Danio rerio: one gene and its partner. The protein of the gene in region 2 purifies or fractionates together with the protein of the main gene of each other region. This does not show direct contact. Links are inferred from orthologs where the notes say so. Each region holds a gene or a part of one and is shown on either strand. Other genes may lie near its edges. The genes, in order: ift57 and coro1a.

Evidence for each region.
Region 1: the proteins of coro1a (region 2) and ift57 purify together in Homo sapiens (affinity purification with mass spectrometry; 3 studies listed by BioGRID and IntAct, counting the BioPlex papers as one, with this or other methods). This does not show direct contact. The link is inferred for Danio rerio from reciprocal best matches to the Homo sapiens genes CORO1A and IFT57.

Annotation. Positions count from the first base shown.
Region 1 is NC_133177.1:45,212,020-45,216,604, reverse strand, and holds the start of ift57 (intraflagellar transport protein 57 homolog), read right to left. Parts: upstream 3,036-4,585; 5' UTR 2,898-3,035; coding exon 2,761-2,897; intron 1,481-2,760; coding exon 1,306-1,480; intron 1,218-1,305; coding exon 1,099-1,217; intron 23-1,098; coding exon 1-22. UniProt on the Homo sapiens protein: Required for the formation of cilia. Plays an indirect role in sonic hedgehog signaling, cilia being required for all activity of the hedgehog pathway.
Region 2 is NC_133178.1:29,722,718-29,726,551, forward strand, and holds part of coro1a (coronin-1A), read right to left. Parts: intron 3,505-3,834; exon of another isoform or gene 3,351-3,504; coding exon of another isoform or gene 3,207-3,350; coding exon 3,009-3,206; intron 352-3,008; coding exon 229-351; intron 1-228. UniProt on the Homo sapiens protein: May be a crucial component of the cytoskeleton of highly motile cells, functioning both in the invagination of large pieces of plasma membrane, as well as in forming protrusions of the plasma membrane involved in cell locomotion.

The DNA of each region.
Region 1 (4,585 bases), on a different chromosome or scaffold from region 2:
CTCCACTGATGGGTACAGCGGCCTGACAGACAGAGAATACAAGCTCTAGATGTGTTTGTATACAGTAAGAACAGACAGTTAGACAAATTCGTGGTTCTAAAAGATTTCTGTGCCCCTAAACCACCATAGAAAATGATCTCAACCTGTTGTAAGCTCATATGTGTGGTTTAAACTTTGTCACTTCATGCAATTTTTTTATTTTTTATTATTATGAGGATGTTTCAAACACAAAGCCTCCAGGAGCCTACATATAAAAGCATTTGTATCCAGAATCAAAAATATAGATTAGATTTGTGTAAAAGCGAATACTATTTAAATAAAATAAAATGTATCAGATGCTTTAGTCAACATAAACTAGTTAAATTTGTATATAGAGCAGATTTGAAGATATCCAAGGAATCATATTAATTTAGCGAAGATGCATTCATGTGGTCAAATGTACATGGCACTATTTGAACAAATCAGATAGCTATGCAGTCAGCAAAAACGCATGAAGTGACCAAGTGTAAACAAGCCCATAGTAGGGGCGGATTTAACCAATAAGCAAGGTAAGTGGCCGCTTAGGGCCCCAATAAATATCTAGAAGTATAGATTATACTTATAAACTATATATAAAACATAATTTCTATCATATTTTGTATAGTGAGATATTTTGTACATAATTAAATATTATTTAATATACAGTAAAATCTTATATTATTTTAATAATGTAATGTTTTGTAATATTAATATTATGAAACAAAATATCCAGCTCCCCTATCATGGAGCAGTCCAGCAGTAAATCTATGATTATATATATATATATATATATATATATATATATATATATATATATATATATATATATATATATATATATATATATATATATATATATATATATATATATATATTTGTTATCGTATGTAAAGGTTGTAAAGATTGCATTAAGATAAACCATAAAAAAAGAAGATTGAGTTACAGAAAATAAATACATTTAAATAAAAAAAAGTAGAAAAGGTGCATCAGGACTTGGGCCCCATGGCTGAAGTTGCCTAGGGTCCCCGATTCGCTAAACCCGCCCCTGCCCATAGTGTGTGCTGTTAAATATATGTGTACCTGTTCCAGGCAAAACCTTTACTCTTTAGTGCCTTTTCTACCAGCTGGTCTAGAACATAACAGACATGCTCTCCAGACCCAGTCTTCAGCTTAGATGGGGGGAAATCAACCTGGCCTCCCTACAAATCACATACAGATGATAATCATAAACCTAAATGCATACACCCATACACATTTGTGAGGGTGTAATCAGTGTTATCGCCTCACCAGGGTTCGAAGTTCAGACAGGATGTTGGAGACTGTGGCGTTGGGGTCGTCATACTCCTGTGGTGTGTCGAACGGTCGCCCGCATAATGTAATCAACCAGGCAGCAATTACACTGAACATATAGAACTGCTCACCGGGATTTGACAACACATGAGGGCTGGAGACAAAATAATGTCTGAAAAATACAGAGTATTAAGGCAAAAGTTGAAATGAAAAATCAGTCATTATTTCCAGTGCTCAGCATGTATAAGTACACCCCTCACAAATCTATCTTTTAAATTTATATTTTGAATAGGAAGCTATACAGTATTATATTTGTGCATATACATTAGATTAGTCAGTACTGAAGCCAAATCTAGAACTTATGTAACTAAATAAAACTAGTACAACCAAATGTATATGTTATAGAAAAATATTAAATACAATTTTTAAAAAGCAAAAACAAGAAAAAGAAAATAAAATTTAGTTGAAATTTTGTAATATTTTGCTTGAATTTAATTGTATTATCTTTCAGTTTATAAATATGTTTGGTGAGCAAAATATTATTTATATAAATATATCTGTTTAATAAATCTGCTTTGTTTAAATGCACCAAAACACATTGCCTATATTCACTGAAGATATATACATTTTCAAAATGTGGTGTACTCACTGAGCACTGTACTCACTCTGATGTTCTTATTTACTTTTTCTGATGTCTACGTTATAACACGCAGTCTCTTTGATATCAACTTCTTCAAACATTGTTCAAAAGTATATTATCCTGACATGTTAGAGACCTTAGTTCCTCTTCAGAATACAACATAAGATATTTTAGATTAAATCTGAGAGCTCTCTCATCTTCCATAGACAGCAATGGTTCTGAGTCATCCAGAAAAATAACAAAAAACATCCTTAAAACAGAAATACGCCTCCAGTGGTTCAATCAGAATTTTATCAATCTGCGAGAGATGCTTTTGTGTGTACAACAAATAAAAATAGCAACGGCTATTTCTGTTCTTATTCTACTATTAAACTTATATTAATTTAAAGGTCTTAAACGTGTGAACACAAAAGAAGATATTATAAAAAATGTTGGAAAGCAACAGCCACTGACTGATAATATTTTTGTCAATATAGTTTCCATCATTCTAGTAAATGTTGACAGAATTTTCATTTTATGATAATATATGATAAGTGGATTTTACTATAAACTGACGGCTAAAAAGTAACTCTATCTACTTTGCAACGTTCATTTTCTTACAGGTTCCATATTATAAAAGTGAATGGGGACCAGAAACTAACTTTACTCGTTTACCAATGTTGTCCAAAATGTTATCTTATATGTCCAACCGAAGAAAAAAACTCATCCAGGTTTGTAAAACCCGATACTAAATTCATGATGAGAGATTTCACTTTAACTGTAATGCTATTTACATCAAATACTTTCTAATCCACATTCCGAGTCTCTCTTACCTGGACAGAGGTTTGATGTTGTGTTTGTCCAGAACGTGCTGCTCATAATCGAGAACCTTCAGTTTATCCAGCAGATCCTCCATCAACACGAACATCTGATAGACAGAGCCCGGACCGCGCTCTTCCTCCTCCGCCATCCCTCTCTCTTTCTCTTTTCACATTTAACAATCTTTACTCGCAAAGGGAAATTAGTTTAAAGCTTTTATTAACACTGCAGGTACGAATACAGACAGATATATACACGGCTATTCTGCAGCAGCGGATTCGGGATGTTGTAGTTACTGTCGTCAGGAATGACGTCACACACAGCGACGGCCATGACAGCAAACAAAGTAAAAGTATCTACTGAATAGTCACAGATAATAAACAGAAAGCTATAAATAATCAATAATCAATGACTATGCATAATTATTGAATAGAAAAAAAGCAGCGAGCCGAAATCTGATTTTGGCTAAGAGTTTTATAATGTTACCGTGTGTAGTCTGACAGTGCTGCCACACGCTGGAGCGGAGAAGAAACGACTCCATATCTAACGTTACTCCAATCGAAAAGATATGTTGCTTTTCTTGCTGGTTCTTTGAAACTGACTCTTTATTAATAACATAATTAATAATAAATGCGTGTGTGTTAACAATAAGAATGGAAAACAAATAATTATTATCATCACCACACTTTCAAAGTACAAACCATGGTTGATTTCTAGTTGCCAGAACTGTTATGTTTAGTCACAGTAAATTACCTCTGTTTATTGTTTTATGTATAGTAAAACCATTGTAAGGGCATAAAATACGTTATGTTACAAAAACCAGAGAGTAATTATTTTGGTTTTTACAAGTTTAAACGGTGATTTTTAAGTATTTTGGTTTTCAACACAACTCAATGTCTGACACATGAAAGTCATTTATAGTCAATGTTATGGTTTAAGGTTATCTGTGCTGATCTAATTATGTTTATTTTTTTTCTTTATGCTATAAATGTGGTTACTTATTATTATATGAAAAATCTTCAGTCTTTTGAGTCTTTTAAGTCGGTTGTGCTCACTAGACAATGAATGATAACTGCTTTGAAAAAGTCAAGGCAGAATTTTCTGCAATACTGTTCCTTCGGTATATGGAGGATTGTTTTATTCAATTTTTATTATTATTATTTTTTTTAAGACAACAGTATCTTTAGCAGAATAGATATCCAAACATGCTGTTCGAAATCGTAAATAAATCAGTGTTTTTGAAACTAATGAAGACAAGAGAAGTCCATTCATTTCATTTATTTAGCCTGACATGTTTACAGTCCCACAATATTTTAAATTGTTCTCAAAATAAAAAATATATTGTATTGAAAGGGGGAAATTTTTTTTTTTTTACTAAGACATTTAAAAAGAATATATTTTAGAGCAGTAATCACAATATTTTTATCCAAGGTTATCATATCAACATAATCTTATACCGGCCCATGCCTAGTGCTCACCAAAGTTGTATTATTTACAGCAAATAAGTAATATTAAAATATTACAATTCATAATACTTTTTCAGGATTCTTTGATGGACTTGAATTTACAAAAGTACTGCATTTACTATAAGGATATTTTATGTCACAATAATAAACCCTTTATTGTCACTTTTTGATTAATGCTCTTGCTCAATATTAAGATAAAACCTAAAAAACCTTTTGAACACTGTTTTATAATTTTACACATTTTCTCCCATATTTATTTTCTGAATGAGAAAAGCTGTTTGAATGATGAATTGTATTTAACACATTATTGTATTCTGTTGTCCCTAGATAAACTGTGCAGCAGTGTGTTCCTCGTGTTAGGTCTCTATGTGTT
Region 2 (3,834 bases):
ACAAATTTAAAGGGGATTTTTTCATTATTCTCAAATTTCAGATTTTCAAATATTTGTATGTCATCTAAATACAATCCTATCATATCAAACCAAACATCAATGGAAAGCTTATTTAATAGGTGGTTGTATTTTATAAGAAAAAATTTAAAAATGGACCCTTTCTGTCTGGTTTTGTGGTCTCTGGTCACAAATGTCATGTGACCAAACCATGAAGTCCTTGTCACTCACCATGACACTACAGTCTTCAGAGCCGCTGGCAATGATGTTGTCATTATGTGGGCAAAACTCAATGTCCAGCACGGGTCCAGTATGTCCACAGACAGTGGGTTGGGACATGTCAATACGACCCGTCTAAAACACAAAACAAAGGGTTACAGAGGAAAGCAAAGGAATGTAGAATATGAAAGCTGTATTGCTGACAAACAGAGCAGAAAGAGCACGAGAGATCTCAGACAGATGAGAAGGCTGTGTCAGCTGATCTCAATTTTATAGCTATGCCTTCAATTACGCCTAATAACTACCAACCCGTTTAGAGAGGACAGCACCATGCAGGAGTTTCTGGAGAGCACATTTACTCTTATTGTTAGATCTTAGAGGTCTGTGCAAGTCAATGTAGAGGAATGGTTTATGATTTATTACTCCCACACAGGGGATGCACTAATTTAAAAACTAGAAAATTGACTGAAATCCATGTTAAGCAAATACTGAAAACTCCTTTTATGTTACTTGAAATAATGCTGAAATGTAATCATGAAAAACACTAGAAGAAACTCTCTTTTCTGAATTTTTTACGTTATCAAAATAAAAGGTTAAAACTTAAAAAAGAAATAATGGTCAAAAATGACTGCATATGACTGGTAATATGATTTCATCAGGAGGGAATGCTAGCACCCAAATAAATTCTTCTGACAGTGACCTTTTTAAGATACAAACCTTAAATTGTATCCACTACTTAATTGAATTAATTTCTTTAATTTAATTTCTTTATATATGCACACACACACACACACACACACACATATATATATATATATATATATATATATATATATATATATATATATATATATATATGTATGTATGTATGTATACACACATATATATATATATATATATATATATATATATATATATATATATATATATACATACACAGTGGAAGTCAGAATTATTAGCTCCCCTTTTCATTTTTTTTATTTTTAAATATTTTCCTAATGATGTCTAAATGAGCAAGGAAATGTTCACAGTATGTCTAAATGTCTGATAATATTTTTTCTTCTGGAGAAAGTCTTATTTGTTTTATTTCGGCTAGAATAAAAGCAGTTTTTAATTTTAAATATCCATTTTAAGATCAATGTTATTAGCCCATTTAAGCTACATTTTTGGTGGCAAATAGTTTACTATTAGTTTGTTTGATCATACCAACTTTGCTTTTGCCTTACAGCAATTTTATGTAAAGAATTCTAATGTTGTGTATATGTATCTATTTTATTTCATTTTCTGTAAAGCCTCGCATGGACAGGTGTTGAGAATTAGCAAGTCTGCTTAAACACTTGAACAAATGCATTTGGTTGTCCAGTGTAATTGTGATGTCCATGTCAAACAAACAAATAAATAAATAAATAAATATTACTAAATAAATTATAATAAAAAAACATCAAACGACATTCGAATTCAATGACTATCTAGTGACAAATATTTTAATTACAACACCTTTTTTTTTTCAAAGAGTCAAAATCCTGTCTACATTAACATATAATGAAAACAAAACATTAATTACAGATTAAATTACCGCCTTTATCATTTAAAGGGATTGCTCACCTAAAAATGAAAGTTCTGTCATCAATAACTCATCCTTCACTTGTTCAAAACATGTTTGAAATTCTTACTTCTGTCAAACGCAAAGGAAGATATTCTGAAGAATGTTGGAAAGCAGCAGCCATTGACTTCCATTAGTGTATTTATCTATGAATGTCCATGGCTGCTGGTTTCCATCACTCTTCAGAATATCTTCCTTTGTGTTCAATAGAAGAAAGAAATTCATAAAGGTTTATAACAACTTGAGTGTGAGTTAATGATGATGAAATTTAAATTTTAGGGTAAACTATCCCTTTAATCGAAAAACAAAAAGGAAAAGGATGTGCATTTTCTGCACAATGCTGCCTTTAATGCCACATGTGAACTCTGCAAGTTTGTGTAAAACCAGATGATGGCATTACGAGTCTCAAAAACTAGGCTTTCAAAACTTCCTCAAGCCACCCAAAACGAAATGAAAGGCCTTGACTCGAATTCTCGTGTTCATTGGGAAAACAATGGCAGCCATTGAGTTTAAGACGCACAGCAGATTGAACATGACAGAACTCCCATTCACTCGCCAGCGTAAAACTCACAAGTGCAGAAAGAGCGAACTATGAAAACAGATGAGCAGAGATGATGCACCGAGAAGATGAAACAAAACAATTGATGAAAAGAGGAAGACAGAAAACTTTCCATGCTGCAAATTATTTTGTAGCTATAATGCTTAACGAAGTGCAAACTACACATTCAAATTTAGTTTGATCACGATGAAGAAAGCGGGCACATCAAGATGAAGTTTAAGTGGCAGCTGTCCTTTTCTCACAGTTTTTGTCACTCACTCAATCTGCAAGCTGTCACCACATCCTGTGCAGCGCTGACAGCAACGCACTCCAAATATGGCAAAAACAAGATGCAAGAGAGCATAAAGAGAAGAGATGCTCGATCTGGTGACACGTACATACGAAACCCAACCTTGAACTTCCTTATTTAGACAAAAACTGCATGACACGTCTAGTGTTCAAAATGTAAAGACTATAGCAGAACATTTCCATCAGCTAATCGATTAAAAGTGCAAACAGGCCTAAAACTACTAACCTAAACTTTACTCTTTTAATATTTTAATAAAATACTGTCTTTGTTATTTGACTTTGGCTTTAAAAAGAGGTTAGATAGCTGAAGTTTTATGAGTCTGACTTGCTATCTGGATGCACCTTGCTCAGGGGCAGGACAATGAAGGCTCCTCCACCGCTGGCATCCACAATCATGGACACAAATTTGGGGTTGACGGAGCAGAAGTTGCTGTCCCAGGTCATCTGGGAGATCCTGATGTCATCGTAGCACTGGTCCGCCTTCACCGCCTGGCCAAAGACATGGCGAAACTTACTGGACCTGACCACCTTCCTAGACATGATGACCTGAGGAAAGACAGACAACAGGGATAGATGACCTCCCATCAGCAAACTAATGAAATGCACACACCATTTACTCAAATGTTTAGACATTTTAGGATTTGCTTTGTTCTGTTGTAAATAAAAGTAGCCATTGACGTCCATAGTGTTTCTTACACTGTTAAAGACTTTTGTAAATGACGCAGTATTTCACTCTAATATGAATTGTATTTTCCTGTAGGATTCCCAGTATTGGGTTGCGGCTGGGAGGGCATCCACTGCATAAACCATATGTTAGATAAATTGGTGGTTCATTCTGCTGTGGCGACCCCAGATTAATAAAGGGACTAAGCCGAAAAGAAAATGAATGAATGAATGAATGATTTTACAGTAGGACAGTTATGCAGTATGTTACTGTATTTTAAAGTTGCATTGTGAAAATGACTATATTTTGCAGTTAAGATAAATCTCAACACTGCAAATACATATACTAAATGTTGTTGTAAGTATAAATACTTGATTTTTGCTGTAGTAGATTCTACAGGAAATTGTTAACAGTGTACTATGGATGTTGGAGGATAAAACTTGGAAGCATTCTTCAAAACATCTTTTGCTTTCAGTAGAATGAGGAAACTCAGTTTAGATCAAG